Linked DNA regions of Rattus norvegicus. The protein of the gene in region 2 purifies or fractionates together with the protein of the main gene of each other region. This does not show direct contact. Links are inferred from orthologs where the notes say so. Each region holds a gene or a part of one and is shown on either strand. Other genes may lie near its edges.

Region 1 (14,842 bases), on a different chromosome or scaffold from region 2:
TGCACACACACACACACACCATGCATATACATATATATACACAACATATCACCCACCCATATACCAATACATACACACACATGTAGTGACAGATACATGCATATGCAGACATACACATATTTACACCACATACACGTATACACATACACATATATACATACATACATGTAGTGACACACATGCATATAACACATACACACATACACATACGTATACACATCACACCATACACACATATACACATACACATATATACATACATACATGTAGTGACACACATGCATATAACACATACACACATACACGTACGTATACACATCACACCATACACACATATACACATACACATACACCACAATGTATAGATACACACATGTAGTGACACACATGCACATGCATATATACACATATATATACACATACATACACATATATACACCGCATTACACATGCATATATAAACATACACCCCTAACATACATGTACACATGTGTAATAACACACACATACATGGATACACATACACATACATACAACATATCACACATAATAAACTGTTAAATCAAACAAACACAAAAAAGACAGACCAAATGTTAAATAAGGTGATTGTGTCAGTGATGTCTTAGTGACTAGTCATGGCTATTACCTGGGGTCATGGCTTTAAGCAGGGATTGTCCTATGCACAGGCCTTGCCTCAGAGTCCTGGATATCCCCATTCTGTCATCAGCAAGAGGAGAAAAAGGCCCTGGCCTGCTTTGCAGAGAGAGGACACTGTGGCTGTAAGCACAGTGACAGGTGACGCATTCATCATCTTAGGAGTGTGTGTGTGTGTGTGTGTGTGTTTGTATGAGTGCTGACTCAGACGTGTGCATGTGCGTGAAGGCCAGAAGTCAAACACACCCATCGTTCATCATTCCTCAGAGGCCATCCACCTTATTTTCTGGGACAGAGTCTCTCACTGAACCTGAAGGTCATTGGTTCAGCTAGACTGACTGGTGAGCCCCAGGAGTCCTGTCTCCGTCTCCAGGCTCAGGGATTGCTGGCACACGCTGCTGCACCTGGCTTTTCCTGTGAGTGCTGGGGATCCGAGCGCAGATCTTCAGGCGTGTGCCACACACACTTTATCCACGGGGCTATCCGTCTCTCCAGCCACTCCCTAGGACTGGCTAGAATTGCCTCAACTTGTAACTTGATTATTTGAGGGACACTGATGCAGTTCTGATCACAATGGGACTCCGGGCAGGTTATGATGCATTTTTGTAATGTAGCCCAGGCTGGCCACACACTCACTAGGTAGGCAAAGATGACCTTGTACTTATGATCCTCCTTCCTCCGTTTAGTGCTGGGATGACAGACGTGGACTTCCCACACATGTTTGGGACTAGTGATGGAACCCAGGGCCTGGTGTGAGCTGGGCAGGGACTTTACCAGCTGAACTACCTCCCCACTCTGGGAGCACCTGTCCTCTACTGGCCCCTTAAACTGAAGGGATTGTCATCTTAAAGTGGAGGTCATGGGCAAGGTTATAGTGACCATGTGCCCAAAGCCATGAAGCTGGACAAGGCATTAGGAGCTTTTGAAACCTAAACTCTACCCACCCCCTTCAGGCCTGCCTCGCTCCTTTTCTCTTCTCGACAGCCGAAGACGCCTCTGTCCAGTAGCCAAAGCCAGTGAATGTCTTTACCCCAGAAGCTAGCATGGATTCCCCGTAGCTCTCCCTGCATCCCCTTTAGAGTGCGGGGGATAGGACCTCACTACCCCTACTCTTTTGGGAGGGAACTGGACTCAGAGAAACATCCCCGAGGACATAGTTGTAGCTGGACAAGTGAGCAGCCTGTGTCCATTCATTGATTCTCCCCTGTGAAGGTGAGAGGCAGTGCTAGCTAAACACTCATCCATATTCAAGCAGCAGGCAGCTCTTGCACTGGTAGGAACTTCCGTCTACACGACACTAACTCACACGCCCCGGCAGCCAATGATGCCCCATCAGCTCTGGGAGGCTCGTGTTTCCATATCTACAGGGACACCATACAACACCGTCGAATCTGGCCTCATCAAAGATCCAGTCTGCATTTTCAGGGTTCCGAGGCCCTGGGAAAAGGGTCTTTAGGGGTACCCACTGGGCTTGTACTAAACCACTCCTGTCTGTAGCCTTACTGCTGAATGAACTACGTTGCTAGCTTCAAGTTGCCTCCATTTATCTGGCTTTACCAGAGCCATCTGAGTTCCTACCTGCGCTCTGGACAAAGGAGTGTGGGAGGGCACTTAATCCTCCCCAGATGCCCAGCCTCCCTATGAACATAGATTGCCCGAGGACCAGCCCAAAACAGCTGGGATGAAGGGTGTGTCTGGCTCTACGCCTAGCGATAGGACCCCTCCCAGGGCAGTAAGGGACAGATTTTCAGGGTGTAACCAACATCGCCTCTTCCATAAAAGCCATTATAAAGGGAGCGTTTGTCTGGGCAAGCCAAGCCACCACCGCAGGTCTCCACAACCACAACTGAACCCGTGTGAACTGGGTCGGGTAAGCCACCCGGCCATGACCCTGAGATTCAGGAGGTGTAGACAGGGGGACTCTCGCATTCCAATGTCTTAATAGATAGCTCAGGTTGTTAAACTCATGAACCCCCGCCTCAGCCTCTCAGGTATTGGTATTACAGGTGTGCGCCATCAGTGCCGTCTGTGGCTTTGTGTGTGTGCACGTGCTTGGGTATGTTGAGGCCACAGGGAAAGCTCAGTTGTTGTTTCTTAGGTGCCACCCACCTTGTTTTTTGTCACAGGGTCTCTCACCGGCTTGCCTCACCCTGAGGACCCTCCTGTCTCACCTCTCCAGTGCAGGGATAACACATGCACACCCACCACATCTGTTATTTTTTTTTTTTATGTGTACGATGTTTAGCCTTCATATATGTCTGTGTACCATGTGTGCCCGGTGCCCTTGAAAACCAGTAAAGGGTGTAGGATCCCTTGGAACTGGAGTTACAGAGTTTAAGAGCTGCCCTGTGAGCCCCGGGAACTGAACCCAAGTCCTTTGTAAAAAGAGAGAATGGCAAATGCTCTTAACCATTGAGCCATCTCCCCAGCACCCCACCTTTTAATCTGGGTTCTGGAGTCAAACTCAAGTCCTTGTTCTTGCCATGCCTCTATTTTTCTGGATTTTTAATTTTGAAACAGGATCTTTATATGTAGTCTGAGCTGTCCTGGAGTTTGCTATGTAGACCACGTTAGCCATGAACTCACAGAGATTCTCCTCTGTCCCCCACCCCCTGCCCAATACTGGGATGAAAGGTTTGAGCCACCACACCTGGCTTTTGTTTTTTTAATCTCTTGCTTGAGGGAACTAAGGAGAGTAAGATATCCTAACGAAAACTCTATGGGAGTAGTCTTACAGAGTCAGATAAGTGCCACCAACCCCTACCCCTGGGACAGTCCCTCGGAGAGGTCCAGTCCCTTGGAGAGGTTCAGTCCCTCAGAGAAGTCCAGTTCCTTGGAGAGGTCCGGTTGGAACTCATCCATGGAACTCTTGCATGGATGGCGGGAGGTGTGTGAGGATGCAGGAAGATGTCCTTCAGATCTTTGAGGATAGCTCTGGAAATGTTCTGGTCACGTGGGCATCATTGTCCTTGTCACCGATGTTGTTTCTGAGCCGGTTGAGCTGCTTTTGGCAGGTCGTAGTTGACACTGACAGACCTGGACGGCTCCCTTTAGTGGCAAACACCAGAAGAACATTTAGGAGCAAGAACGGATTTGAGGCCCTTTGCGAGAGGTCACAGTGCCTGCAGCACACTGAGCACGGAACTGACCCCACAGAAAACCACGGGTTTCCGGGTACTTGTGCCTGTTGCTCTCCAACGTATTTCCAGAGTGCCTCATGGATTCACTCTAAAAAGTCCTGGGAAGGCACAGTGTCTGGGTTTGAGAGCCATAGGGATGCTTCCCGCTCACCCGGTTCTCAGACCTGAGCATCACTTAGGTCTGAAAGAATGTTAAATTGCCTCCCCTCCAAGGGTAGCAGGACCCACATTCTGCAGCTCTGTCCTTCTGAGTCGGGGAGAGGGGGATGACTCCCATGTAAGGACGTCTTGGGACTCCTAGGCAAGTCTAGGAATCAGACTGCTGCACTGAGCTGGAGTACAGGAAGTTCTGTTTTCTCTTGTCCCCCACCAAAACCTATAGAGAACAACCATGTGTCCACGCACTCCCACATCGGAGAGAAATGGTTTTCTGTCTGTGTGTTGTGGCTGGAATATGCTCGGCCCAGGGAGTGGCACTATTTGGAGGCACTACTTGGTGGACTCATTGGAGTAGGTATGTTACTGTGGGTGTGGGCTTTAAAACCCCCATCCTTACCTACTGGGAGTCAGTCTTCTGGTGGCCTTCAGATGAAGATGTAGAACTCTCAGCTCCTCCTGCACCGTGCCTGCTCCCACCTTGATGACAATAGACTGAACCTCTGAACCTGTAAGCCTGTCCCAATTACATGTTGTCCTTATAAGAGTTGCCTTGATCACAGTGTCTGCTCACAGCAGTAAAATCCTAACTAAAAACATCCATTGTTTACAGAGAGAGAGAGAGAGAGAGAGAGAGAGAGAGAGAGAGAGAGAGAGAGAGAGAGATATGCCAGGGCAGGCATGGTGTTGCATGCTTAGAACCCCAGCACTTAGGAGGAAAAGGCAGAAGGATCAAGAGCTCCAAGCCAGCGCCAGGGAGGTGGCTCAGTGGGCAAAGACGCCAAACGTGACGACCTGAGTCAATCTTCGAAACCCAAAAATGGAAAGAAAAAAACCAACTCCCTAAAGTTGCCCTCTGACTTCCACACATTCGCGGTAGCCATGTGCACACCAACCCACATACATATGAACACACATAAATAATTTAAAAAAAATTAAAGTGTTCCAGGCTACTTACTCTAAGCTGCATTGTGAGATCCTACCTCTGTCTCAGACTGAGAAATCAAAAGGTCATGGTATGGGTCAGAAGAGGATGCTAGGTACCTGCCCTGCTGATTATGTGATGTAACTGACCCACTTCCCAGTGACCGGCTCACTTCGCCATCTTGATGTGAACTTGGTGTTACATCCAGAACATGGTCAATAGCCACTTGGCCTCCATTCCCTCTGCCAAGACCCGGGGAGGGTCCAGCAGCTGCGACCTCAGGATCACAGTGGTTAGCGCAGATGGCAGTGGGTGGCTTAGGCATAGAGACATACATAGTGCTCAGGCTGAAAGTTCAGGAAAATTTGGGATGCACACCCAGTGTGCGTCACGCTCGCCTGTCATCCCCTACCTTGGTAAAGTAGCATAGACCCCGCCCCGGGTGTGCTGGAGATGGACAGGGCCAGGGGCTCAGCAATGAGACAACTGCACGTGGAAGGATCTAGGAGGAGCCAGGGACTGGGGCAGCAAGGGGAGTGGTCATACGGGGGCGTGGTAACGACGGGCGGCCAGAGAGGGCGTGGTTTTGGTGAGCGAAGAGGCGTGAGCAACAGGGGCGTGATCACTAGGGGCGTGACCATCGCGGGGGCGGGACGGTGACGCGCTTCGACGCGCGATCCCGGAAGCGGTGTCAGTACTGGGGAGCCGGCGGCGGGCGGCGGGTGGCCGGGACTTGTTGTTCTTTGCCGAGTCGGAACGAGTAGTCCGAAGCGCGCAGGCGGAGACGGCGACTGAGGGGAGCGCGAGAGCAGAAGCGCGCGTGAAGAGTGCGTGTCTACAGGAGCCGCCGCGCCCGGCCCCGCGCGCGACCCGGGTGAGTGAGGTGCTTCGGGTACTGGATAAGGGGACCCCGAGTTCGCGCACCTGCGGGAGGAGCACCCTGAAGGCCGCGGGACCCAGCCTGGGCCTCGAGCACGTGCCACGCAGGACCTGGCTTAGGGCCCACGCGGGACCCACCACGTGCGGGAGAGCGGCACCCGGGAGCCGTGCGCACCTGGCCATTTCCGTCGGCGTAGGATTCCCCCCTCTTTCCCGGCCGCGACCCTGAAAGGGCCTGAGTAACTGGTGTCACTTTCTAATCAGCTGACCGGCCAGCGGTGCCGGATGTGGAAGCTGTGGGTGGGGAGCGAGGCAGGTGACCGTCTTGGCCAGCCTATCGCTTCCGTCACTTTCTTCAGGTGTGGTCTGGGGCTAAGGTCTCATCCAACTCTGAAGTGAGAGATTTCCCTTGTAGGGTGAGCGTTTAGTTGTATTAAGAGTGTGCGTGTTAAGAGTGTGCGGCGAGAAATCAGAAGCAAACTCTAGCAAATTACAGGTGAAGAAAGCCTGGTGGGTCCTAAGTGCCTAGATCTCTTTGCGGGAGAGAGACTCCTCTTCTGGCATCCTTACTCATGGAGATGGCAGCCACTGTAGCCTCCCAGAGCTTACCCTGTTCACAAACAGTCGGTATTTGGGAGGCCAGGCAGCTTGATGCTTTTACGCTGAGCCTCGCTTTTCACACAGCTCTTACTGCTATCACAGATGCACTTTAACAGTTCTCCCTCCAATCGATGGACAGGCACTCACGTTTCTCTTGCCAGGTGCATCCAGTCCCAAAAAGCTGGCTTGTGTCACAACTGGTAGGTAGTTCAGGACTTCCCTTTCTGTGGAATTATTAAAATTAGCCCTTGGGACCTCAGGGGCTGGCATTGCTGAGGTCCATTACGGTGGCAGCCACATTCCAGAAGGTATCTGGTGGAGTGCACGTGGGCACTTCGATGCTTTGAGCTGGTATTTTCCAAGTCTGGTGTCTTAGGGCCAGGTAACTTCTTTCAAAGGTGTTGATCTAAAGCCATTATGTTATACATGCTTGTAATCCTAGCCCTTGAGAGTTTGAGGCAGGAAGATCTTGAGTTTGAGGTTAGCCTGAACTGCTTAGCTAGTTCAAGACCAGCCTCAGTTACATAGGGAGACACTGTCACAAAAAAGCAAAAACAAAAAGGTATGAATTTAAGCATGTGGATGGAGTCAGGAAAGCTGTAGATAGGCAGGATATATCTGCAGCCCATGTCAGGGACAACCCTCACTGAGGATAAAACCTTCTTCGATCCTTAGATAAATCAACCAGAGAAATGTGGTGTCTGACCTTGGTAAAGGAAATAAGACTAATGTGATAACTTTAAACTAAACTTCTTGATTTATTAGAGCAAAAAACAGAGCCAGGCTTTGCTGGAGTCCATTCTCCTCTTGTTCTCGAACTGAGCTGGGCTTTCAGGGCTCTGTTCCAAGTTCAGGGCTGTGTACTTTCCAGATAGTTGTTAAAATGGGAGTCGGACGGAGGGTCCTGGGAAGCCATGTTTTCCCGGGAGTCTGCCCTTTCTCTAGCACTCTCAAGGCTTCTGGTGAGTCTTTTCTGGCCATTCTCTCCTGGAGACCCTCAGTTTTTAGTCCCTTGCTTTAGCAGCCCAGGGTTTGTTTACGGTCTCTGGTAACTCTTTCTTGCAGTCTAGACTGAGAAGTTGTGTCTGTTTCTGCCCCACTGTTCTGAGTCTAAAGGTTTCTTGGAGTGGACTTTCTGTATCTCGGGTCTAGTCCACACGGGAAGTGGAAATCAGGCCAGCTGGGAGAATTCTCTGTGTAGCCGATCTCTGGAGCTATAAACAGTGACTCATTCTCCCGCCCCACCCTCCCTGTCCCCTGCTCCGGGAAGATGCCTGGTCACTCATATTTACTTTTGCTTTTTATAAGTCACACATGCGTTTGTGTTTCCTCTTTCCTGCAGTTTCTGGAAACTGAAAGTGTTATCTGACGACCCATAGAGTTTGATGGAGGTAGACCTGAGCCCCGGTGATCAAACACTACACTGTCTGGTGTTCAGGAGGGTACAGCTTCGCTTGCTTGATGGCCTCGCCTGAGGTCAGAGGTCAGGGTTAGAGGCTTCCTGCTCTTCCTTGGGGCCATGTGGTATGGTAGGCGGAGAACACACACCCTTTACTAGGCTTCCTTTCCAGAGTCCCTGCCTCTGTCTATATTGCAGACCTTTCGTAGAGCCTTGATACCCTGAAGGAGAGCTAGCATCAGCAACACAAGCAGTCTGCTTGGCAGGAGCTCATTGTGCATGGAAGCTGCTGAAAGAAAGTTCTAGAACCAGGTCTAGATCCAGGGAAAATGCTGACTCCCCAAAGACAGCAATTAGGAGGGCTTTCTGGAAGAAGTGGAAATTGAAGATAGAGTGGAGACCCCTTGTCTACCACAGCCAGGAACACTCATCAGCCAGAGTAGGAAGGAAACCCAGGTAGGAAGCTCAGAAGGGAACCCCAAGTCGTAGATTTAGCTGTAGGACAATGTTCGAGGCACCAATATCAGAACTGGGGATCTGGTACACCAAGGCTAGGGTCCAGAAAGAAGCTGGACCATGCTTGGGGCTCGGTAGGTCAAAGCTGGTTCTACAATTCCAGCACTTGGGAGGCTGAGGCAAGAGAAGGTCAGTCCCAGGCTAGCTTGGGCTGTATGAGGCCCCATCTTAAACAAACAGGTCTGGAGAGATAACTCAGTCAATAAAATGTTTGCTTGAGCTCACATAAAGATGTTAGATGTGGTGGCATATTCTGTTATCCCAGTGTCGGGGAGGTAGAGGCAGGAGCATCACCGAGACTCTCTGGTCAGCTAGCGTAACCTTTGTGATTAGTTAGATTCTGGGCCCCTGAGAGACCCTGTTTTTAAAATAGTGAGGTATACACAGTGAGGTGCTTGCCATCAAGCCTGATGACCTGAGTTCAAATCCCCAAGGCCCACATCGTGGAAGGAGAGAACTGACTCCCAAAAATTATCCTCTGACCTTCACACCCACTTTGGCAAGTACACACACACACACACACACAGTCTGGACTTAGCTGTTTCCTGGGCACATCCCCACTGAAACATGGAGTAGAAGGTGACTGAAGCCCCAGGACCACCAGGGATGGCACAGAGCCCTAACACGGACCGGGTATCAGAGAGGCCACTCAGTCAGTCAGGGAGAGGAGGTCAGGTTAGAGGCAGAAGGAGGGCAGCCACAGTTAAGGGAGGTGTGCCATGCAGCCTGCTGTCAGCCTCGAAGCTGCTTGAGTCACCTCTGCATGTAACTGGGATGACACAGCTTCCTGAGATTGCAAATGCAAGGTGACCAGACGTCCTCTAGGCTAGGCAGACAGTTGTGGCTTATGGGAGGGCAGCCAGCCAGCCAGAGCTGGGTGGAGATGCCCAGCCACGCTCTGTGGGAGGACAGCAAACTGAAATCTTAGTGGTCTGCAGTGGCAGGAGCTCATTGGACCAGCTGTGGTGTGTGTTTCATCAGCATGTGGCCACTGTATGTCGGTAATGTGTTAGCTCCATGTACCCTCAGGGTCCTGGAAAGGGTACTTGGCTCTGGGTATTTGTGAGAAGCTCTTGAGCAGAGGTGGCCACATCCTTAGTGGCTTTAGGTTCTGTGGCTCTCAGCTATCTGGGGCTTGAACCTGTTTTTTTGGACAGAATAGGTCTTTCCCTCTCCTCATCACCCACCCTGCTCCCTTCCCCCATTCTGGGAGACCAGGAACCTGAAGAGCACACATCCTGGTCAGCTGGATTGGGGGCTGCAGTTGCTGTTACTCTGCGGAACCCCTGGGTTGGTATCACAGTTGCAGCAGAGTGAGGTGTGTGACCCAGGTTACGCACTACCCCGGGGAACATGGAGACCCTCTGAGACTTTTTCTGGTCCACTGTTGCACTAGTAGCAAGGTCTCTGTAGTTCCCTATCTGTTTCTCCTTTGGACCTGGCCATGGTCCTCTTTGCTGTGTGCTGGGACTGCCAGGATGTTGTGCAGGAGGGAGGTGAGGCTGTAAATGCCCCCAGTAGTGCAGTCAATGCAGTGTGGTGCTGGGGAACTGCTTCCGGAGTGAAAGTAGGATAGGAGATGCATGCCTGGCCCCCCTCCCCTCCGGAGAAAGACAGTCTGCTAGGGCCTGGGCTACCTGCTGTCTCTGGGCGCCAGGCTGGATTCCCACGCTCTGTGGTGTGCCTCCCTGCTCGTTATGCACAGGGCGTCTTCTACCCCAGTCCATCCTGAAATGGAAGGAGCTGGGCAGAGGAGGGGGATCTTCCTAAGTTGTCCAGGTTGACTTTGAACACACTCTGTAGCCCAGGCTGGCCTTGAACTTGTAAACTTCCCAAGTTCTAGGATGACAGACCTGGTTTGGCCTTTGATGGGTAGGGTGGGACTGTACCCATTGGCTTGGTGTATAAGGGACACACTGAGTTGCTGAAAATCTCTGTCCCTTAGATCGTCCCCCCATGATTGCCACCAGGCAGAAGGGCATGCCTCTGTCTGACTCAGGGCCAACGTGGACCTCACCTTTCACCTGGACAGACTTCTACAATGTTAGTCACGAAGGCTGCAGTCAGAGTTAGTTTGACAAGGGGTACAGGTGCTCCTGCTGAACAGAGTTCCAGGAACTGGACAGGGTGGGCTGGGGTAAACACATTAGCTCAGTATAAGTCAGGACTCCTGAGTGGGGGCTTCTCACTACTTGTCGTCTCTGGGATCTTTTCGCTCACCCTCTTTTTCTGAGGAAATGACCCCGAGCATTGGGAGGTGTTGTCATTTGTCCATGGCTCTTGGGGTTTACTTATTTTTAAGCCAGCTGAGGACTGAGGAAGGGTCCCTGAATGCAGCAGAAGCCCATAAAGAGGGTGGACATGGAGAGAGCCAGGGAGGGGCCCTTCCTGCTGGCCAGGTGGCCTCCATCCAGTGGTCAGTTGACTCTCATGGGGTCACCTGGGGGCGTAAGCCCCTGCCCTGTGCACATCCTGGCCACCCGGTGTCACGGTACCATCACTATGGGGGTGGGGAGATTCCCGCCCGTCACTAAGCGCTGGCCTGCACGTCTCAGCACCCTTGGGTCTGAGTTGAGTCCCCCTTCTTCCCCGGCACCTTCCTTTTCCGCTGGCAGTGGCCCCTGGGGCCCGTGAGCATGCGGGTGGGAGGGGTGTCCTTGTGTGGGAATGTGAGCCGGCTCTGTAAACAGCCCGTGACTCACCACATAGCTATGTCACTGACGCTGGGGTTGCAAGTTGGAAGAGATGCCCAACCCCTCCTCCCTCCTTACACGGAAAACTTTCTCAGGGCTCCTAGGCGCCTGGCTTCTGAGAGCTCCTAATGGAGCTAAGGAAGCCCATGACTTCTCTGGTGCCGCTGTTCCCTAGCTGGGGCTGGAAGGGGTCTGTGGATACTACTTTGCCCACATCCCCATGTGATCTCTTATCAACAGTAGATCACCCCGACAAGCCCTTGTCCATCTCAGGTCCCAGGGGATACTGTGACAGGTCCATGCTGCTTTACCTAAGCTTCCTGGCCCTGCCCCTGTCCTGGTCTGCTGACTGCCTACTGAGTGTGACCCGTACTGTCACCAGGGTACTACATTCATTACCAGAGTCAGTACCTTGTCTCTCGATGGTGGCTTCCTGGCAGTAAGGGTGGTAGGCAGTGGAGACAGGATCCCATCAGAGGTGAATCACAGGGTGGAGAGATGGAGCCTACAGGTCCCCCACATTTGTGGGGGAAGGTACAGTGGAGGTCATCCACTGTCTTTTTCATACCTGTTCTCCACATTCTTCTTTTGTGTGATTTCCCTAATGTTCCCTGTTCTGTGCCCATCTTTGTCAGGGTTTGAAATACAAGAGGTAGGGGTGTATCCCACCAAGAGCTGTCCCTGCCCCTCTTACTCCTTCCTCAATTTGTCAGGGAATTGAGTGGTTTTGTTTACTGCCTGAGAACCTCGTGTTGTCTTTCTGCACAGGCTTGACCCACAAGTCCCAAATGCTTTTGGGCTTCTCTGTTGCCATGGCAACTGTGGGGGGTTGGCTACATCCCAGAGTCGTCATGGCAACTATCAGAGGGGAATCATGCTTGGGATGCTTTGGCTGGCTTTTTCATGAATGATGAGGGTGTGTGACACAATGCAGACTGGAGAATGAGAAGGGCGGGCAAGGGGGCTGGCGGGTTGGCCATGGGGACAGGGCCTGCCAGACAGCCCGGTAAGTCTGCCAGGTGGCTGGAGTTCTCTGCTGGTGTCTCTGGCTGGATCCTCTGAACCTACTACCCACCAGTAGCCCCCCACCCTACCCATAGGGACCTTGGGGTCACTCTGAAGGGCTGGGATGGCCTGGGAGGAGTGGTGATGTCACAGCTGCAGTGTCCTTCACGCTGGTAGGTGTCCCTTGGGCTATAGGAGGGTGGGGCTGGGGAGTGGCAGATATTATGTACCCCATCTGTCTTGGGGGGCTGAGGGGGTAAATGAAATTTCGGGAAATAGCCTTGTTCTCTGCCTAGTGAGCCAGGCTGAGCCTGGGACAGCAGGAGCTCTTGCTAAGGAGCAGACACTGTCCCAAGGCCCTCCTTCAGAGTGCAGTACTGCTGCTTATGGAGCCAGCTCTGCGGCTGACAATCCCTTTGGTCTTGAGATGCATGCAGCACCTGGTATCCCGGGGTGTAAATGTCTTGTCTGCGTTCAGGGGGGCGCCTAGAGCAGAAAGCAACAATGGGTCGTGAATAGCAGTTATTCCACAGGGCTGTCGGTCTTAGAGTGCGCTGGATGGGGGAACCAGGGACCTAGGGGGTCTGTCTGCTCTAGGGACTGATGCTGAAGCACGAGGCGGGGTTGGATCTCATCCCCCCTGTCAGACAGAGGCAAACTGAGCGCCTGCTCCAGAGCACTTAGGGCAATGGTTTTCAACCTGTGGGTCGAGACCCCTCGAGGGCATCAAACAACCCTCTCATGGGGGAGTGGTCACTTAAGACCATCAAACCCCACGGATACTTACATTATGGTTTATAACAATAGCAAAATTACAGATATAAAGTAGCAATGGAAATAATTTCATGGTTGGGGGTCACAAGAACGTGAGGTACTATATTAAAGGGGTGAGAACTTTGTAAAAGGCTTAAGGGCAGGCCTACCCCATTTCCAGTGCTATTACCCTAGCCTGCCAAGACCTAACCTACCATTTCTGTGTCTTTCCAGCTACGATTTCCTGGTGGTTCCGTCCTGGTGACAGGGCCCGGGTTATGACGACTAATCCCAAGCCCAACAAGACATTGAAGGTACGGCGAGCAGGGCCAGCATGGGCTGTGACTGGCACTGCCCTGCATGGCACAGGGACAACTCATCCTGCCTTGGCAAAGCCCCCCTTTCACAGCACTGCCCTAGAAAATGAGGTCAGCTTTGTCCTCAGGAATTGGAGAAAGATCGGGGAAGGAGAGAGGTGGTAGAGTGGCCCATAAGAGCCTGGCCTTGTCACCCCGGGAGGCTGCTCACAGGTAGGAGGGTGATAAGGCAGATGTGAAATAGATACTAGCTACCTAGGGCTGCATCCAGACGCTTCCTCTGCCAAACTTGGCCCCCCCGCCCCCCATGCCAGGTGAGCATAGTGGTGTCCCTTCTACCAGCCCAGGTCCTTACTGTGTGATGTCACTGTCACCAGAAGTGCTACTGAGTGCTTCCTTGCCTCAGAGGCTCCCGAGGACTGTGTGCTGGGTCCCTTGAGTGAGCCCTGACCAGCCAGATGCAGACTTTGCTTCAGTGGGTGGATGTCAGGGAAAGACAGGCCACAGGGTCACCCTGTCCCTCACCTGAGAGCGCTTGGTCAGAGCATCTGAGGGGCAAGGTCCCAGTTCCATGTGTCTCTAGAAAGCTTTACAAAGTTGACCAAGACCTTCCTGAGGGAATGGCTGTCAGGTCCTCCCCGTTCAAAGAGGTGTCATAGCAACAGGAGCAGGGCTGTCTGTACACATCCTGCCATGGGCATAATCTTGGAGTCCCATGCTGCCACCATGGTAGAATGGGAACAAGGAAGGGTGACAGGCACTGCCGGGCCTTTGTTGGACCAGACTTTAGCCTTTGGTGATTGTGTGCCAGTTCCATGAACCCTGTGCGCCTCTGTTCTGACCGCTTCTCATGTGGCTCCTTAGGTCAAGAAGGAGGCGGGCGAGAACGCCCCTGTTCTTAGCGACGATGAGCTGGTGTCCATGTCGGTGCGGGAGCTGAACCAGCACCTGCGGGGGCTCACCAAGGAGGAGGTAACTCGGCTGAAGCAGCGGCGGCGCACACTCAAGAACCGAGGCTACGCCGCCAGCTGTCGCATCAAGCGCGTGACACAGAAGGAGGAGCTGGAGCGGCAGCGGGTGGAGCTGCAGCAGGAGGTAGAGAAGCTGGCTCGTGAGAACAGCAGCATGCGTCTGGAGCTGGATGCCCTGCGCTCCAAGTACGAGGCCCTGCAGACCTTCGCACGCACCGTGGCCCGAGGGCCTGTCACACCCACCAAGGTGGCCACCACCAGTGTCATCACCATCGTCAAATCCGCAGAGCTCTCCTCCACCTCTGTGCCCTTCTCAGCGGCCTCCTAGTGTCTGCTGGGGCCGGGCAGGGTGCGGGCAGTGGCACAGCCCTCATGCCTATCCCAGGCTCCCTGGTACAGATTCCTCATGTCTACCTGCCCACTGTGGACCCTGCAGGGCTGAGGGCAGGGACGGCAGGGACAGGCAGATGCAGGATAAAAGGGAAGCTCTCATGAGCCAGTGCCACAAGCAACCCCCACTCACATCTCTCCTTCCCCTGGGGGTACGTCTCTAGGAGCTGACAGGAACCACACGGGCAACCGCGATGAACAACTCTAGGCCTCTGTGGCAGAGTGTGAGGACTCAGTCTTCCACTTCTCCGGTGCCTGCTTATCAGCGTCATCGGTGCCGTCCCCTCTAAGGGCCTCCAGCTGGGTTGGACACCATCTGTCTGTCACTTCTGGGCTCTGGCCTTCCTGTCCTTACTAAAGGGCGCTACAACCTGCTTTAGCCCTTAGGTAGAGCCAGGCCCATGTCCTGGGAAACAGTTCCTGATATAGCCACTTGCAGGGGCT
Region 2 (16,290 bases):
TGTAGGATCTGAGCGCCTGTGACCCACAGCTTATAGAAGGGAAATGAGCAGCCCTCCACATAATCAGAGGCCTAGTAGAGATGCAGCCCCACAGGCAGAAGCCTTCCCAAGAGCCTGAAAAGGAGCCATTTGTCCTGGCGGCTCCTCTTTAACGCTCAGAGCAGACCTGACCCCACAGTGGGGTAATGCGTTCCCCTCTAGTTTCCTGGTCTTGGGTCAGAGTTTTGCAGGTGTCATGGCAACACACGCACCACCTAGGCTTCACAGCAGAGTGCCCTTTGGGAGTCTTCAGCAGTGACCGCCACAGGGAGTAAGCTCACAGCTAGGAAGTAACCTGACAAAGAATTTTCACCCAACCCTAGGAAAGGCAACTGACTCTTTAGGGTGCTTGCCTTTGTGCCTGGTGACCAACTAGACGCAAATACCAGGCCTGGGCCTCGTGACAGTCATCTGATGCAACCGACAAATAATTCCTGAGTTCAGGGCAGGCTGGCCCTATCCTTGACCTCTTGAGAACACAGGTTCGGCGCTCCACCCTCTGAACATAACAGAAAGTTGCTTTCTTCACTAATAAACCCAGGCCCACATGCTTTCTCTGATGGCTCTTTTTTTTCTTTTTTTTCTTTTTTTTTTTTTTTTTTTTTTTTTTTTCAGAGCTGGGGACCGAACCCAGGGCCTTGCACTTGCTAGGCAAGCTCTCTACCACTGAGCCAAATCCCCAACCCCAAGAAAGATTTTTTTATGTTGGGATAAACGACAGGTTCCTAAAATTAAACTCACCTGGATTGTTTTGACTTTTTTTTTTTTTTTTTTTTTTTTGGTTCTTTTTTTCGGAGCTGGGGACTGAACCCAGGGCCTTGCACTTCCTAGGCAAGCGCTCTACCACTGAGCTAAATCCCCAACCCCTGGTTTGAGTTTTCTTGAATCAAGCTCTCAGTATTTAGCTTTGGCGAGGCTCAAACTCTTAGAGATCCACCCGCCTCTGCCCCTCAAGTGCTGGGATTAAAGGTGTAACACACCACACCTGACACACACTTGCAAATTTAGTCTACAGGGCTGATGTTAGTATTAAAGATTAGCGGGGCACATGACATTTAGACTTACAGCGCCATCTGCTGGCCAAGACAAAAAATTGAATGTGAGAAAAAAGTAATGTGAGCTGGGTGTAATGACCTGGGCTGGCTTCTAACTCCACAGGCCTCTGAGGGTAGCCTTATGCCTGCTGCCTCCACCTCCTCCCAAGGGCTAAGATTGCTGAGGTTGTACCTTTGCAGGAGTTGCAGAAACAAATCTAACTGCAGAGGTCCCCACACCATCAGCACTGCCTTAGCAAGGGCAGAGAGAAGCTGTTCAACGTCACAGACCTGAGCCTCAAGCCCCATGGAGACTGATGAGACCCTAGAGATAGAAAGCCTGAGTTTGCATCAGGCACAAACTCATTGTTTGATTTTTTTAAAAAAATTAGGGTCTTCTGTAGCCCAGGCTGGCCTCAAACTCTATCAGTGTGTAGCTAAGGATGACCTTGAATCGCTAATTTTCATGCCTCCACTTCTGTGTTTATAGACAAGTGCCACTGCCTGTGTCAGCTCTCCGTAGGCGCTGTTCTTAGGAAATAATACATTCCAAAATCAAACAACAGAGAAGACACCCCCAAAGCCAAAGCCGTGCCATCCTCTCTTTACTGTTGTGGAGATCTATTTATTTATTTATCTGTATGTGTATGGTTGTGCATCTGTGTGTTTGTCTGTCTGGTGCCAACAGAGGCCAGAAGAGGGTATTGGATCCCCTGATACTGAAGCCACAGATGATTGTGAGCTGTGGAGTGGGGGTGGGGTGCGTGCGTGCCCTAGAAATCAATCCTGGGTCCTCTGGAAGAACAGCAGGTATAAACTAGCAAGCCATCTCTCCAGCCCCTGCCGTCTGTCCTCTCTTTTAAAAATATTTACCTTGACTTGTCAAGGACTTAAAAGCAGGAATTGTGCCTAAACCTCAGTGGCTTACAAGAGCAGTGGTCATTGGACAGCTCTCACACTTCCTGTGTGTCAGGAACTGAGCTGGCCCCTGTGAGCATTTCTGGCTGAAGTCAGGTGTTGGCTGGGGCTACCGTCCTCTGCAGGTCTCTCTAGCTTCAAGAATTCACTTCTGGGCTGGCGAGGTGGTTCATCGGGTCAACGGTGCCAGACTAAGTGTGTATCCCGAGTCTGGTTCCCAGGGCCCGTCTAACTAGAGGAGAGAATGGAGTTCGAAATAAACAAACGAATCTAAAAAGCAGTGAGTACGCTTCCATCCACAGGCCACTGCTGTGAGCTAGAGCAGGTTTGCCCTCCCGAGCAGCCAGTGAGACAGGACGAAATAGAAGTCTCAGTGTCCTTCACGGCTTAGCCTCAAGAACACACGACGCCATCCACTGAGGTGTGTTCCGCCGAGGTGTGTTTATTAGAAGGAAGGAGTGTACAACCTGACAGGAAGAACGGAATTATACCGCGATAGAAAACGTAATTCTGGCTAAGTGCCTAGCATCACACTGACCTAAGAAGCTTTTATACCTTGTTTTGCACAAGGAAACTGGGGTGCAGAGGGGCAATGCCACCTCCCCGAACTCTGCTGTGTGAGAACTAAAGCCCAGCTCTGACTCCTCCTACGCTTGTGTTCTGTGTGAGTAAAAAACGACTCTTCTCTGACTGGTGCATCTTTCCAGAGTTTCAAAGACGTGCTGGCCCCAGTCCTCCAGGTCTTTACATCAGTCCTCAGAAGGTCACTTTGGCCATTCTGTTGAATTCCAGTTGTGCGTCTTATAGAAGAGGGCTTCAATAAGCCATAGTCTTCCTCACAAAAGTTTTACAACATTGAAAGAACTAACAGTTTCCGATATTTTCAATGCCATTTGCTTTAAAAAAGAAAAAAAACTCGGGAATGACAACATCACAATCTGCATGAGCTGCTTTGTGCGTTTTGTGCAGTGTGTGTGTGTGTGTGTGTGTGTGTGTGTGTGTGTGTGTGTGTGTATTGAGGCAAGGTCTTCCTGCTTACTATGTAACCAATGCTATCCTCAGATGTCATGGCAGTCCTTCTCTCCAGAGTAGTAGTATTAAAGTTATACACCACCAGGCTGGCTTACTTGTGCGTGTTAGTACTGTTTGATTACACGAATATTTCATCTTACTTGTATTTGAAACAAGAGTATTAATCACGACTTGTTTTCTGTAGTTCCCCTATGATTTGCTCATCTTAAAAAAAGAGGTTTGGAAGGCTGGAAAGATGGCTCACGGGTTAAGAGCACTGACTGCTCTTCCAGAGGTCCTGAGTTCAAATCCCAGCAACCACATGGTGGCTCACAACCATCTGTAATGAGATCTGATGCCCTCTTCTGGTGTGTCTGAAGACAGCTACACTGTACACAGTATATATAAATATAAGAAATAAATTTAAAAAATAAAATAAAATAATTTTTTTAAAGAGGCTTTACAGTTTTGGTGATGTTTCACTCCAAAATTTCGCTCCAGCTGCTATAATCCCGCTCCGCTGTTCTCGGTTTCAGGTTAAACTTCCTTTTCCTGTCGATCAGATCACAGACCTTCCCAGGAACGACTTCCAGATGATGATTAAAATGCACAAGCTAACCTCAGAACAGTTGGAGTTCATTCACGACATCCGGAGGCGTAGTAAGAACCGCATTGCGGCTCAGCGCTGTCGGAAGAGGAAACTGGACTGCATTCAGAACCTGGAATGCGAGATACGAAAACTGGTGAGTTGGCGGGCAGGTATTCAGCAACCTCGAGTGACCGAGACCGATGTGAAGTTACATCAGTTACAGCTGGAGAAACAGAGGGACAACCACCCTTCAGGAAAACTTAGGCTTATTCTCAACCGGGGTCATAAATATGCATCTGAAATGTACGTAGAGGTACTCAGATCTCTCGGGTGTTGTGTGGAATTGGCTCCTCTTTGTTTTTCCATTTGTATATCACAATAAAGCGTGTCTACTGCATGCATATACAAATCAAGTGTTCTTCTAAACTAACTCGCTACCCAGTCGCCTGGTTTTGATAACTAGCATGCTGGTCCATGTAATTGCAGGATTCTGAGCAAACAGCAAAAACCTGAGCACACTGCTCTTTGCCAGGCGAATGCCTAAAACACTTTACTGATTCGTTCCTCTGAAGAAGCAGGACAACGCTGTTTATTCTCCATCGGCATCTTCCAAGCCTTAAATAATACGCTGTACGGTTTGTTTTGCTTTCTAACGCAGTGACCAAAAGTGCCCATCATGAAAGGAAGTCAGGGCGGGAACCAGAGGCACAAACCGATGCCAAGGTTATGCAAGAACTCTTCTTATTGGCTTGTTCTCTGTGGCTTGCTCAGCCTTCCCTATACACCCCGGGGCCACCAACCCAGAGGTGGCACCACACACAGTGGTCTGGGCCCTCCCACATTAATCATTAATCAGACTTGTCTACAAGCCAGTCTGATGGAAGCTATTACTCTAGCTTGTATCAAGTTTTTTAAAAAGGCAACACACTGCACCTCAGTGCTGAACTAGAGCTTCACCTCTTCATTACGTTCATCTTAAGAGATTTGCAGTCAGGCGTCTTTGGCTTTGGTTTATTATCAAAATATCTTCCTCTGTAGACCAGGTCGGCCTTAAATGAAGCCCTCTTGCCCCTGCCTCCCAGGCGCTGGAGTTATGGGTGTGTGCTACCAGAGTTCCATGTTCTTAACCAAGACAACATCAACAATACATCCTTCCTTTTCTAAGAGAAGCTAGAAGCACGTCATTTGTGGCAACGTGTTTCCTTCCGCTACAAAGTATACAGGAGCACTTTTGAGATGAGTGGGGTTAGTGCCTAGACAAGGACTTGTGGCACAGAGACAGGAGATTGCTTTCCTAGGACGCACTGGCCCTCACTTTTAGATGTCCAGGTTGAGTGGAGAGAGGGGCAGGTTGCTGGGCCCGTTTGCTTGTGTCTCAGAGGAGGGGATGGCTTGAGTGGTCAGAGCCAGCCAGCCTGGTCTGCTGCTGCATAGTTCCCAGCATCCCTTCTGCGATGTCTCCCGCAGGCTCGCCACCCTCATTTGCAGATGCACATAATGTATTTCTCTCAAGCTGCACTCGTACATCTGTTTATTTTTCATTTTTAAAACATGTTTTCTAGCTAAATTTATAAATATTTTAGCAGGTGTCCTTTCCGCATGTAAATCTCTCTCTAACACACATACCCACGCTGCCTGCCAGATTGTGCCCACGTTAGGCCGTGCACAGCTCCTGTGTCAGAGACCTGCTCCTCTCCCTCCTCTTCAGTTTTTACCCCCATCCTTGCCTGGGCTTGCCTGCAAGACTTGCAGAGGGCTGGCTACCACCCTCCCCACTGCATTAGACACCCAGTTTCTTTGGCTGCTTTATCTGTGAGCCTCACGAAGCCTCACCACACCTCCTCATACAAGCATTGAGAGTAAAACTTTAATTACTCTCCTCTCTCAGACTAAACTCAGCTCTTTGTGTGGGATTATTCTTAATGGGAAGAACATCTTAGAACAGTGGGCTACTGTGCAAAAGCATAGGACCCACCTTTCTGTCCCTAGCCTCTCCATCCAGTGCCCAGGGATGACCCCTGCTCCGGATTCAGTGCACGGTTACCAGGGTCCATCAAAGGATATGTTCTGTCCAGTCGGTTGTGCTGGAAAAGCTGGAGAGTGTGATGGTTAGGTCTAATTGTATGAAGTTGCTGATAAACAGTCTTGATTACTTGGTTGGTTTTTGTTTTTGTTTGTTCATTTGTTTGTGAAAGGACTCTCTTCTTTATAGTCATTTTAAATTTCTAGCAAAATTAAATGAAGTACCTAGAGTTCCCAGATGTCCCAAGCCAAGGACCAGCCTGGGCTTGGAGAGGGGTTCTGAGAGAAGGGGTGTCTGGGAGCTTTGAAAACAAAACAACTCAAAAGAAGTCAAATTGTGGGTCAAAGCTGGTGGCCTATGCTCTGCTCGAGACAGCTTTCCAGCCTGCTTTCTCTCTGTCCTGCTTTCTTTCTCTCTGATCTGCCTTCTCTCGAGATCTCCAGACAGCTCTATTATATTCTGCTTGAGACATTTCTCCAAGCAGTTCTCTCTTGCTAGTCTAAAAAATTCTCTGGACAGTTCATTTCTTGCAGATCATAAGCCCAGTCTTTTATTTCATATCAATCCAGTCATTTACTCTAGGTTTCCTTTTTGATTATCCTAAGAATCAGCATCCATTGACCCTAGGTGATTAATTCTTAGGAGACAGTGAGCATGCATTTTCTTTTAATGTTGAAAAGGCAGCAGATCTGCCTGCCTCTGCTAAGCACAGATGAAAAGCAAGCTGGGTGGGACCCCATCCTGAAATTACTATTTCTACCATACCTGGGCCTGGACTCACTGTATCCCAGGCTGACCTGAACTCAGGAATATGCCTGCCTTTGCATCTGCCTGTCTTTATGACTTTCTGACAAGCTGGCTCATTGATGCAGCTGCCTTTGTTCCTTTAGATCCATGAAGCCTTCGTATAATTCATATTGTATCCCTAATTTTTGCATAGTTGAGAAATTATATATTTCTGAGCTCTGAGTCTTTAGAGTTCTTTTCCATAGCCTTAAGGGCTGTCTTGAAGGTCCCATCGTTCACTGTTTTTCTGAGACATTAATTAGCCATACCTTTGCCTCCCGGACACATGCTATCTCAGATTATCATGGAGTCATTAACGTTAACAGGGAGGACATGCCTTGAAAGAGGAACGTAAAATATGTACATTATTCTACAGACAAGCCTTATGCCCACGGCAGCCATGGGCATTCTTAGAGGCCCACGACCACTGGCCCTGTCCCAGGGGCAGGGACAGTGCCAATCTGTCCCCACCAAGGCCATGGCAGACCCAGCAGTCCCAGACTCTGGTGACTCCAGACAAGAGCAGTAGTACATGTATTATTATGGACAGGCGTATGCTGCCATTTCGTTTCATCCAACACCACTGCTTTACCTCAGAGCTCACACTCTTTAGTGAGTACTATATGGAGTTTCAAAGGGTGCTGTCAGTGCCACTGTGTACAGGGCAGATTCACTGCCCTAAAGCCTACTGTAATGGCTTAGCCATCTCCCCTTCCCTCAACCCCTGGCAGCGCTGACTTTTTATTTTTCTTTTTTTGTCTTTTTCAAAATATCAGTTACTCGACTTTCACCCCTCAAATATAGTAACCAGGGTTGGGAAGTTTTGGGGGAAGGATCTCTGAGGTCAAGGCCAGCCTGGTCTACAGAGTAAGTTCCAGGACATCCAGGACTATACAGTGCAGAGAAACATCTCACACACAGACACACCACCACCACCACCACCACCACCACCACCACCACCAAAGAAAAGAAAAAGAAGTAACCTAATGTATTAGGGGAAGATTTTCAGCTATCGGGTTTGAAACAAAACGTTTCCAGTCAGTTCCCTGAAAACCCCAAACTCAGAAAGCAGAATGTCATTTGACTCCCTACAGCTTTGCCATTGGGGGTACCTCAACCGATTGCTTCCTGGGGCTCAGAGGAAGGGATGCCACACTGGGGAAGCTGTGTGACAAGTGGTAAGGCGAGCACTCCCTTCACAGTGTGTCTTTTAACTTCCTAAAGGTTCTGGCCTACTCTTTCCGGAGTTAGGTTACCGTGTAAGGTCTCAAAACAAAGCCTTGGAAATGAGGCTTTTGTGCAGGTTTCACGAAGGTGTGTCATTCTCTCTCACAGGTGTGCGAGAAAGAGAAGCTGTTGTCCGAGAGGAATCAATTGAAAGTGTGCATGGGGGAGCTACTGGACAACTTCTCCTGCCTCTCACAGGAGGTCTGTCGAGACATCCAGAGTCCAGAGCAGATCCAGGCCCTGCACCGGTACTGCCCTGTTCTCATACCCATGGACCTTCCTGGAGCCAGTGTTAACCCCCCTCCCTTGGGGGTTGAGCAGAGCCTTGCGCCCTCCCAGTGTGCAGTAGGAGGAAGTGTACCCTGCTGCCTGGAGCCAGGGGCAGCTCCCCCTGGGCTCCCCTGGGTGCCCAGCAACACCTCTGAGAATTGTACGTCTGGGAGGAGGTTGGAAGGCAGTGACCCTGGAACCTTCTCTGAAAGAGGACCTCCTCTGGAAGCCAGGAGCCAGTCAGTGACGGTGGACTTCTGTCAGGAAATGACTGAGAAGTGTACAACAGACGAACAGCCCAGGAAAGATTATGCCTAGCCGCGATCAGCTCTGCCCCCCGACCCCCGGTCTTCACACCTCTCTCATCTGAGAGTGCCTCTGCCAGCCAGGGGCACTGTTCATCTGTGTCTTGAAGAACCGAGAACGACGAATTTGGTGCACACTACAGCAGTCTTAGCAGCAATACTGTTCCGAAGTATTCCCTCCTCTCTTGTAAGCAGGAGTGCTAGTTACCTTCCTAATGGTGCTACCCCTTGCCCTGGCAAGGTAGACAACAGTGCCGACACTGTCTGTCTGTGGGTTAATTGCAAACTTCACAGGGATTAGACTACACCTCTAGGACCCAACCACGGATTTTTTTTCTCAGTGGCCCATGTCACAAACCCTATCTCAGGAATTTCTTCTGAATGTTCAATTTTTTTCATTGAAGACAGCTTCTATACACATCAAAGTTTTATAGCTATACTGTGTACATAGTATATATAATATATATGAAATATATATCCATATGCAAAAGTCCTGCATGCCTCGATTTTCTCAATTTCCTGAAACTGGAAACTTCACTTATCATTTACAAACATGTCCCAACATTCCTCTTTCTGTGTCTGATGCCAGAACTGGTTTTGTAGCTGTTAACATGGTTGCTTTTCTTGCTGCACAATTCGGTTTCTAATCTGTACTTATTTACAGACCAAATTCAGCATCGGAAGTTTCTTCTCAAGGTTCAGTCTCAGACCTTTCACTTTCGTTGGTTTGGTTTCGGCGCCCCCGAATGGCATTGGGTGAGCATCGTGGGTCTGTCCTTTCCTCCTCGTGTTTCCCCCTCGTCCTTGCAGATACTGCACAGCAATGGTCAACTTCGCCACTTGCACTGAGTTTTGAGTCAAACCTATTTTCTTAAATGAAGTTGTAACTTCGGTATAACTCAAGTATATTGTATATTCTTTGCTTTCAGTTAAAGAGGTAAAAAAAAACATTTTAGCTAATTAAAAAGCACTCAGGTGATAATTATGTAGGAAAAAAAAAACAATCTTGCCAAATAATGAACCCATCCTAGGATGTGTAGACAATAATCTGCTTGAATATTTTTGTAGCTCACTTCCTCCCCCACCTCCCCTGCAAGGGAAGCGGAAGTGCAGATAATTCAGAGCTGACACTGGATGTCCCGTTCCTATGAGGGGAAAGAGATCGCACGGCTCGAAGGACTGCATGTCAAAAGGACAGGAGCCTGTGGTGTTGTTAGAACCCCACAGGCACTGGTGAAGAGAAAGCAGTGGAGAACCAGTTCCTTGCAGGGGGAGGGGGATCCCTCTCATTTCAGCATTTCTTTCCGGCCTCTGCTTATACTTTTGCTCAGAAACGTCATGTGATAGGACCTGCTTCTTTGAAGGGCACAGCTAACCCACCACCCGGCTTTCCTGCCCAGGTTTGGCTTTCCCACATTTTAAGACCTGAGGGGATTTGAATGACAGCCTTGGCTTTCAGTAGCACCCCCCAACCCCCACCCCCACCCCTGGAGTAGGAAATAGCATGGCAGAATGGAGCCTGAGATCCACAAGAACATAGGCTAATGCCTTCTTTCTTCCTTTCATTCTTCAAATGCCCTCTCGGAGGTTTTGCTCTGCCCCCCTCCCCAAGTCTCTTGTCTGAAAGCTGCTGCATCCAAGTCATTGGACAGACACCCTTAGGAGCCCTCTGCCCCCTTTTCCCAAGCCCTCCGCCCCTCACCCTTCATTTCCCCCTCCCCAGGTAATAACCTGCTTCCTTTGCTAAAAACCGGTTGGTTACAAATCTGGAGAGCAGCTTCCTTGGTCCTAGGGTATCCTGGTCCAAACCGTGTTTACAGAAAGGCATGCTCCAAGGAGGAGTCAGCTCCCTTCTCCCAAATGGTCTCTATCTCCTTTTGCTCAGCAGCCCGGAGACCACTCCAGCTGTGCAAGGTTGTCCAGAAAAGTCTGATATTGGGATAGGGTAGAGGGTAATGGGAACTAGATGGATGGTTGACTTTGTTTCTTCATCTGTGCCATTGTTTTGGACAATATTAAAGCTGCATGTAAAAGGGGAAAGTAATGTATGACTTGTAGGCAAAAGTGAAACCCTAGTGACATATGTTCTAGTATTATTAACTTCTTTCTGTACTTATAGTAGTGCTAAATGTTTAAGTATGTACAAATGCCAGAAGTTGTTGATCCATGCAGTAGAATTTAAGGGGAAACTTATTTCTTTTAAAATAGGTCCATTTTTTAAAACCTGCCTCTGGGTTTTGAGTGTGTGTGTGTGTGTGTGTGTGTGTGTGTGTGTGTGTGTGTGTGTGTGTATAGATTTTGATACAGCTGTGTTGGAGCTCCATCTTTGTTACACCATTGGTACTTCCTGGTTCCCTGCACCAGGTGTGTCTTCATGAAAAGCTGGCAAAGCCGGCATTTAGCTCCATGGGAATCATGTGATGCTCACAGCTGCCTATTACGGTGCAAGCGTCAGCAAACAGTATTTTTTTTTTTAAACTCTCTCATTGCCTTTTTAAGTGACCTCTTCTAAAGAAACAAAAAGGCTTGTTTTCTGCTCAGGCCACCGATAGCCCAGAGGAGCCTCTCTGCTTGTTTTATGCTGTTCCAGCTCCTGGGTGGCTGGAAGTCTTGCCACATTCCACAGTTTACCCCCTAAGTCTCTGTTGCCAGTAGCTCAGACCTGTGGCAAACATTTTCCATGGGAGGGGAGTCCGGTCTCCTCATTTCTCTCTGCCTCAACTCAGCCCTCATCTTCCTCATTTTCTTTGCCTCTTCTGCCCCCCACCCCCAATCTGTGCCATGATTTCAAATTACTCTTTAAAAAAAAACTTATTATTTCTGTGGTATTTTTAACAGGTAATTTCATTCAGTATCCACCAGGAACAGCAACTGGCTTTGGGTAATTACTCATGGGACGTGTCTGTGTCTCTTACTGTTCCAAACAATTGCTCATCAAAATTATTTCTGAGTTGATTCAAAGGGAGGACTCACTGGGGTCCAGAATATAAGTTCTTCAAGTGGAATTCGGAAATCCCCAATCTGTCCTTCCTGGGATCCCTCAGTCAACCTCATTCCCCCTATGGAAAAGAGAACGAAAGAGAACAGAGGAGAGTGTTTGAGTTTTAAGGGGACATTTAGTTGTGTGTTTGAAGATCTTTTCTTTCAAAGATACAGGATACTCCAATCATAGGACTGACATGACTGCTTGGTTGGGTCTCCCAGAGGCTGGGGTGTGAATGGGTCATGGTCCAGGGCTAGCACCCAAACACAGGCCTCCCCCTGGAGCAGCCTCTGTCCTCCTGGTCTCTGAATAGCCTCCTTCAGGTTACCCAGGCTGTAGGCAGGTGTGTGCTTTGCCGTGTGTGTTTGTGTCTCTGCGTTATCTGGGGGTGCCTTGGAGAAAGTCAAACTTCGTGACTTACTGATTCTGGAACAAAGCATTTTCAAAAAACTTTTCTAAAGTTGGCAAAGCTACTAGGTCATCCTGCTACTTCCCTTCCAGGTTCCCTAACAATGACTCAGGCATCAGGGCTGATGCTGCAGTAGAAAGCGTTATTTTTAATGTCATACGAGTAATTTATTTACTGTCTTTCTCAAGGTATGCTGCTTTTTAACATGCACTATAATTTTGGATATAATCCTTGCACTGCTTTTCCAAGGAAGTTTAAAAAACGGCTAGTAACTAGTGTGCTAACTGCCTCTTCTCCTTGAAGGAGCTACAGAGCCACCAGAGGACCTGCCTGGAGGACTGACTAAAGCCTACACTTTTCTCTTGTTTTAATACTTTATGATGGCCACTGAAGAGGAAAAGGACAAAGCAGACAATGGTTTGAAAGTATAAACCTTTCACAAATCGCCCAGTCTTGCCCTGGGGGACTGCTCTGCGTCCCGTGGAACACATAGTCCTCCAAAATGAGTCGATCTGTAAAGCTCCTTGGAGTCTATTGGATTGCATATTCCTATACACCTCGGCCCTGTTTAAACCAGGAGCTGTTATTGATGACTTCAAACGACTCCACTAGTGCTTACAGTGTGGGGGAAATCTCAGATCTAGAAGAGAGCAAGAGTCAAGGTTTACCCTCAGATCTCTCTCTACGTCTATCCTTCCCCCCTCCCCATTCCCCTTCCTTTCTCCCCATTCCCCTTTCTCTCTCCCCATTCCCCTTTCCCTCCCCCTTACACACACACACACACACACACACACACACACACACACACACACCAGACTAAAGAAAGAAAATGAATTATTTTAAAAGAATCAAGCTCTGTGTTGTATTCTTAGTATCTACTTGAGGATTTTGTTGCAGATCCCATTTCTGGCAAGTCAGTCCACAATGCCTCGTGGGGTTGGTATTCATAAAGGAAGTCTGTGCATGGAGATATTTTGTGTTCAAAATGTATAATACTACCGGAGCCATCTCACGACCCGAGTGTCAAAGACTGATGCTGTAGCATAGGATATATTTGTGCATAAATAGCGTGTGCAAATAGTACTTGTACATTGAAGAGACTCCTCGTAGCAGATCAAAGGTAAATTATTCAAATGATGGTGCAGAAACATTACTTGCAAAGTAATTGTATAGTATTTTTCCTACACTCCACCCTGGGAGATCATATTTATAACAAGTGAATTATTAGTGCATTTTAATTGTAATATGAAATGATGCTGCCATTTCGTGAACAGTATCCCACTTGGTTGCAGAGGCCCAACTTTTATAGCTTTGGTTTGATGTTGTGGCATGGTGTATGCGTTTCTCTATCAAGCAATGGATAAACTCTTGGCTGTCATTTTCATTCCGGTTTATTGACCTCAGATAAAACAATGGCTATTCGTGGAAGTGTATCAAGACCACTCATTTCAGGTAGACTCACACTCAGTGCCAAACGCTCCCATGGGAATGACCAGACACCTATATCAGGAAAGAGTGAAGGGACTTGGACAAAAAAAAAAAATGGGTTTTCCTAAAGATGGGTGCTAAACTTCTACCAAACACGTCTCTGGGGACAAAGAGTTGGCCTCCACTTGGGTCCTAACAATGTCTTTTGGCTGTGGCAACGCTGGGATGCCCATTCACACTCTGACACGAGAGCCTGGCACTTGTAACGAATTATCAGGAAGATTGCAGATGCATTTGGGAGCTTCGGGGACTCATTAGACACGGTGAGCCATTCAAGGCAAGAGGGCCTGTGAGAATTTGTTCCAGAACCAGTCTGATGCAAGTGCACCTCTAATATATGCCTTACAAACTCCAGAGGCCATATGCAAAACAGGGTCTTCTCAGTGTATGCAAGGGGCTGCGGCCCCTCTTCTCCTCCTCCCCAGCTCAAACAATACGGACAGTTTTCACACATATCTACCTGTATAACCCTCCGTACCTCTCATAACTGGTCAACGACTGTAACAGGTTACATCAGGTGTTTTTTCTACATACTTTTTACACAGATTCTATGCGATTAATGTAACTTAATTCAATGCATCATTTTATTGTACAAGTTCTTACGCTTGGCCTTATTTTTTTTCCTAAGTGATTGTGGTTTTTCTTGTGGTTTTTTCTTGTGGTTTTTTCTTGTAAAGATATTGAGATGGCTGTTGATGCTTATTCTCTGTAACTAAGAATTTTTACCTTTTTGGGAAAAAGCATTGCTATGGATTAATGAATTGAGACTTCATTTACTCGTTGTAAATACACTATTGTGCAAAAAAAAAAAAAAACCCTCTCAACTGAATTGCTAGTGTTAATTGAATTTTTGTCTAGACGCCATTTCTGTTAACGAAATAAAGACATATCATTCTACATTGTCAAAGCTTCTAATCCCTGTGTTACATTCTGCAGAATAGACAGCCTCAAGAAATGTTTCCTCTGCCAAAGGTCATTTCTCATCCTCTACTTTGGACCCTCCCCTGCATCCCAGTTAATTAGATTAGGAATCTTAAGAATTTAACCATGCTGTTTTTAATCTAAATCTTTAAAGTCCCCATTGCACTTGAGATTAGATATTGAACATTAGAACCACTTCCAGTTTCCATATTCCCCTGTAGCTATGCAATGGATAAAGAATGTTGCCACGGGTAAAGAACTTTGTTTTACAACTGTAGATGGATCTACAACAACATAAAGAAGAGGTGACAAAATAGATAAATGAATAAATACATAAGGCCAGGTGTAGTGGCCCCTACCCATGTCCAATTACTCCTGAGGCTAAAGCAGGGTCTCAGGAACATACAGGGTGAAGACCAGGAACATAGTCAAGCTGTCATCAACAACTGACGTGAAAGAAAATCAAAGTATAACACCAAACCTGTGGCTAGTGTCTTCAGGTTTTATGGAAGGGGAAATGTACACCCGCCACATCGTGGGTAGACCAGATGTCTGTGAATAACACTGAGCTCATGCTGCAAGGAGAGAAACTACCAGTAGAGGGCAGGTGTGATCTACCAAGAGTAATGAATGTAACCCGATACCTATGTAATCCTAGGTTCAGCAAGTATTGTCCCATCTCCCACATGGGAAAACCAAAAGGCTCCAGAACTCTTCCTCAGAGGATATCCTAGGCCCTTAATGAGTTAAGGATGGCTTCCTTATATACTGTAAACTACTAAATCAACCATGGTCAGATCATCTTAAATTTGAGAAATTGACCAACTGCCTACCTAAAGATCAGGGAGAGTTGGCAGCCATGTTCATCTCCACCCTTGGCCATTGGCTTCTGTGGCAGAATAAACCTTCCTGATTGTTCCACCCTGCAGAATTTCCCAAGCTTTGTCATGCCTCTGGCATGCAGCTGGTGTTCCTTCTATGCCTCGAATGTGCTTCTCATTTAATTCATGTAATTCATATCTGATTCTAGACATAATGAGAATCTCCTCCCCCTCCATCGGATCCTGTGCCAATTCTTATTGCATTTGGAAATAAGGTTTTGGGGTTTTAAGATTTTTATTTATTTATATGAGTGCACTGTCGCTGTCTTCAGATACACCAGAAGAGGCCAGCAGATCCCATTACATATGGTTGTGAGCCACCATGTGGTTGCTGGGATTTGAACTCAGGACCTCTGGAAGAGCAGTCAGTGCTCTTAACTTCTGAGCCATCTCTCCAGCCCCTGAAATAAAGTCCTTTAAAATTCCTTTAGAATATCTTACCCAAAAAAACCTACCCATCAGAAAGGATGCATAAAACAAGGTTCTATTTGAGCTTTTTTTAACAGCAGCTGGTGTCCTGAGCAGGGGTGAGCCCCTATAACCTCCACCAAGTGAGCCCCTTTGCCTTCCTTGTAACTAAGCATGATACAATCAAGTCCTAGAGAGAGAAGGAAAGCCACACATTTCTGTGAGCAAGCATCCTTCCCTTCAATTTCCTCAATAGCATCTCACCTCCTCTCCTCATGCACCTCAGACTCTGAAGATCCTGATACAAAACTACCATGGCCCAGCCTAGTCTGCCAGGAAGATGCATTACTTGTTCCTGGCTACTTGTTCATGGCTACTTTTGACTCTTACCACCCAAAGGCACATCCCTCTCTAAAGCAATGAGCTTTGTCCAAAGCAGTGGCTGGAATCCTCCTGACACCAGTGCTGGGAGTCACTGGATGTACTCTGTTTGCACTTCAACTCTGTCTTTATTTTTTATCCACACCATACAGTGAAAATGCTATAAAGGAGGTCTCCTAATCAGCCTGCTAACCCTGATAGGACAATGGAAAAAGAATATGGAACTGGAAGTGGTGGGTAAGGTATTGTCGTCAGTGCCTTAGGATTTCTACTGTTTTGATCAAACACCACGACCAAAGAAAACTGAGAGGGAGAGGGTTCATTTTGCTCACACTTCCACACCACAGTCCATTTTCACAGGAACTCAAGGCAGGAACCTGGAGGCAGCAGTTCATGCAGAAGTAAAAGAGTGCTGCTTCCTGGCTCCCTTCTCGTGACTTGCTCAGCCTGCTTCCCTATAGCACTCAGAACCACCAAGCCCAGGGCTGGCACAGCCCACAGAAAGCTGGGCCCTCCCACATCAATCATTAATCAAGAAAATATGCCACAGGCTCGCCCGCAGACCAATCTGGTGAAGGGATCTTTCTCAACCGAGGTCTCCTCTTTCAATTTGACTC

Evidence for each region.
Region 1: the proteins of Bach2 (region 2) and Mafk purify together in Homo sapiens (co-immunoprecipitation; 3 studies listed by BioGRID and IntAct, with this or other methods). This does not show direct contact. The link is inferred for Rattus norvegicus from reciprocal best matches to the Homo sapiens genes BACH2 and MAFK.

The regions. Positions count from the first base shown.
Region 1 is NC_086030.1:19,949,952-19,964,793, reverse strand, and holds the start of Mafk (transcription factor MafK), read left to right. Parts: upstream 1-5,601; 5' UTR 5,602-5,749; intron 5,750-7,507; exon of another isoform or gene 7,508-12,140; intron 12,141-12,954; 5' UTR 12,955-12,998; coding exon 12,999-13,034; intron 13,035-13,901; coding exon 13,902-14,336; 3' UTR 14,337-14,842. UniProt on the Homo sapiens protein: Since they lack a putative transactivation domain, the small Mafs behave as transcriptional repressors when they dimerize among themselves.
Region 2 is NC_086023.1:51,765,042-51,781,331, forward strand, and holds the end of Bach2 (transcription regulator protein BACH2), read left to right. Parts: intron 1-3,538; coding exon 3,539-3,745; intron 3,746-7,735; coding exon 7,736-8,215; 3' UTR 8,216-9,203; downstream 9,204-16,290. UniProt on the Homo sapiens protein: Transcriptional regulator that acts as a repressor or activator. Binds to Maf recognition elements (MARE). Plays an important role in coordinating transcription activation and repression by MAFK.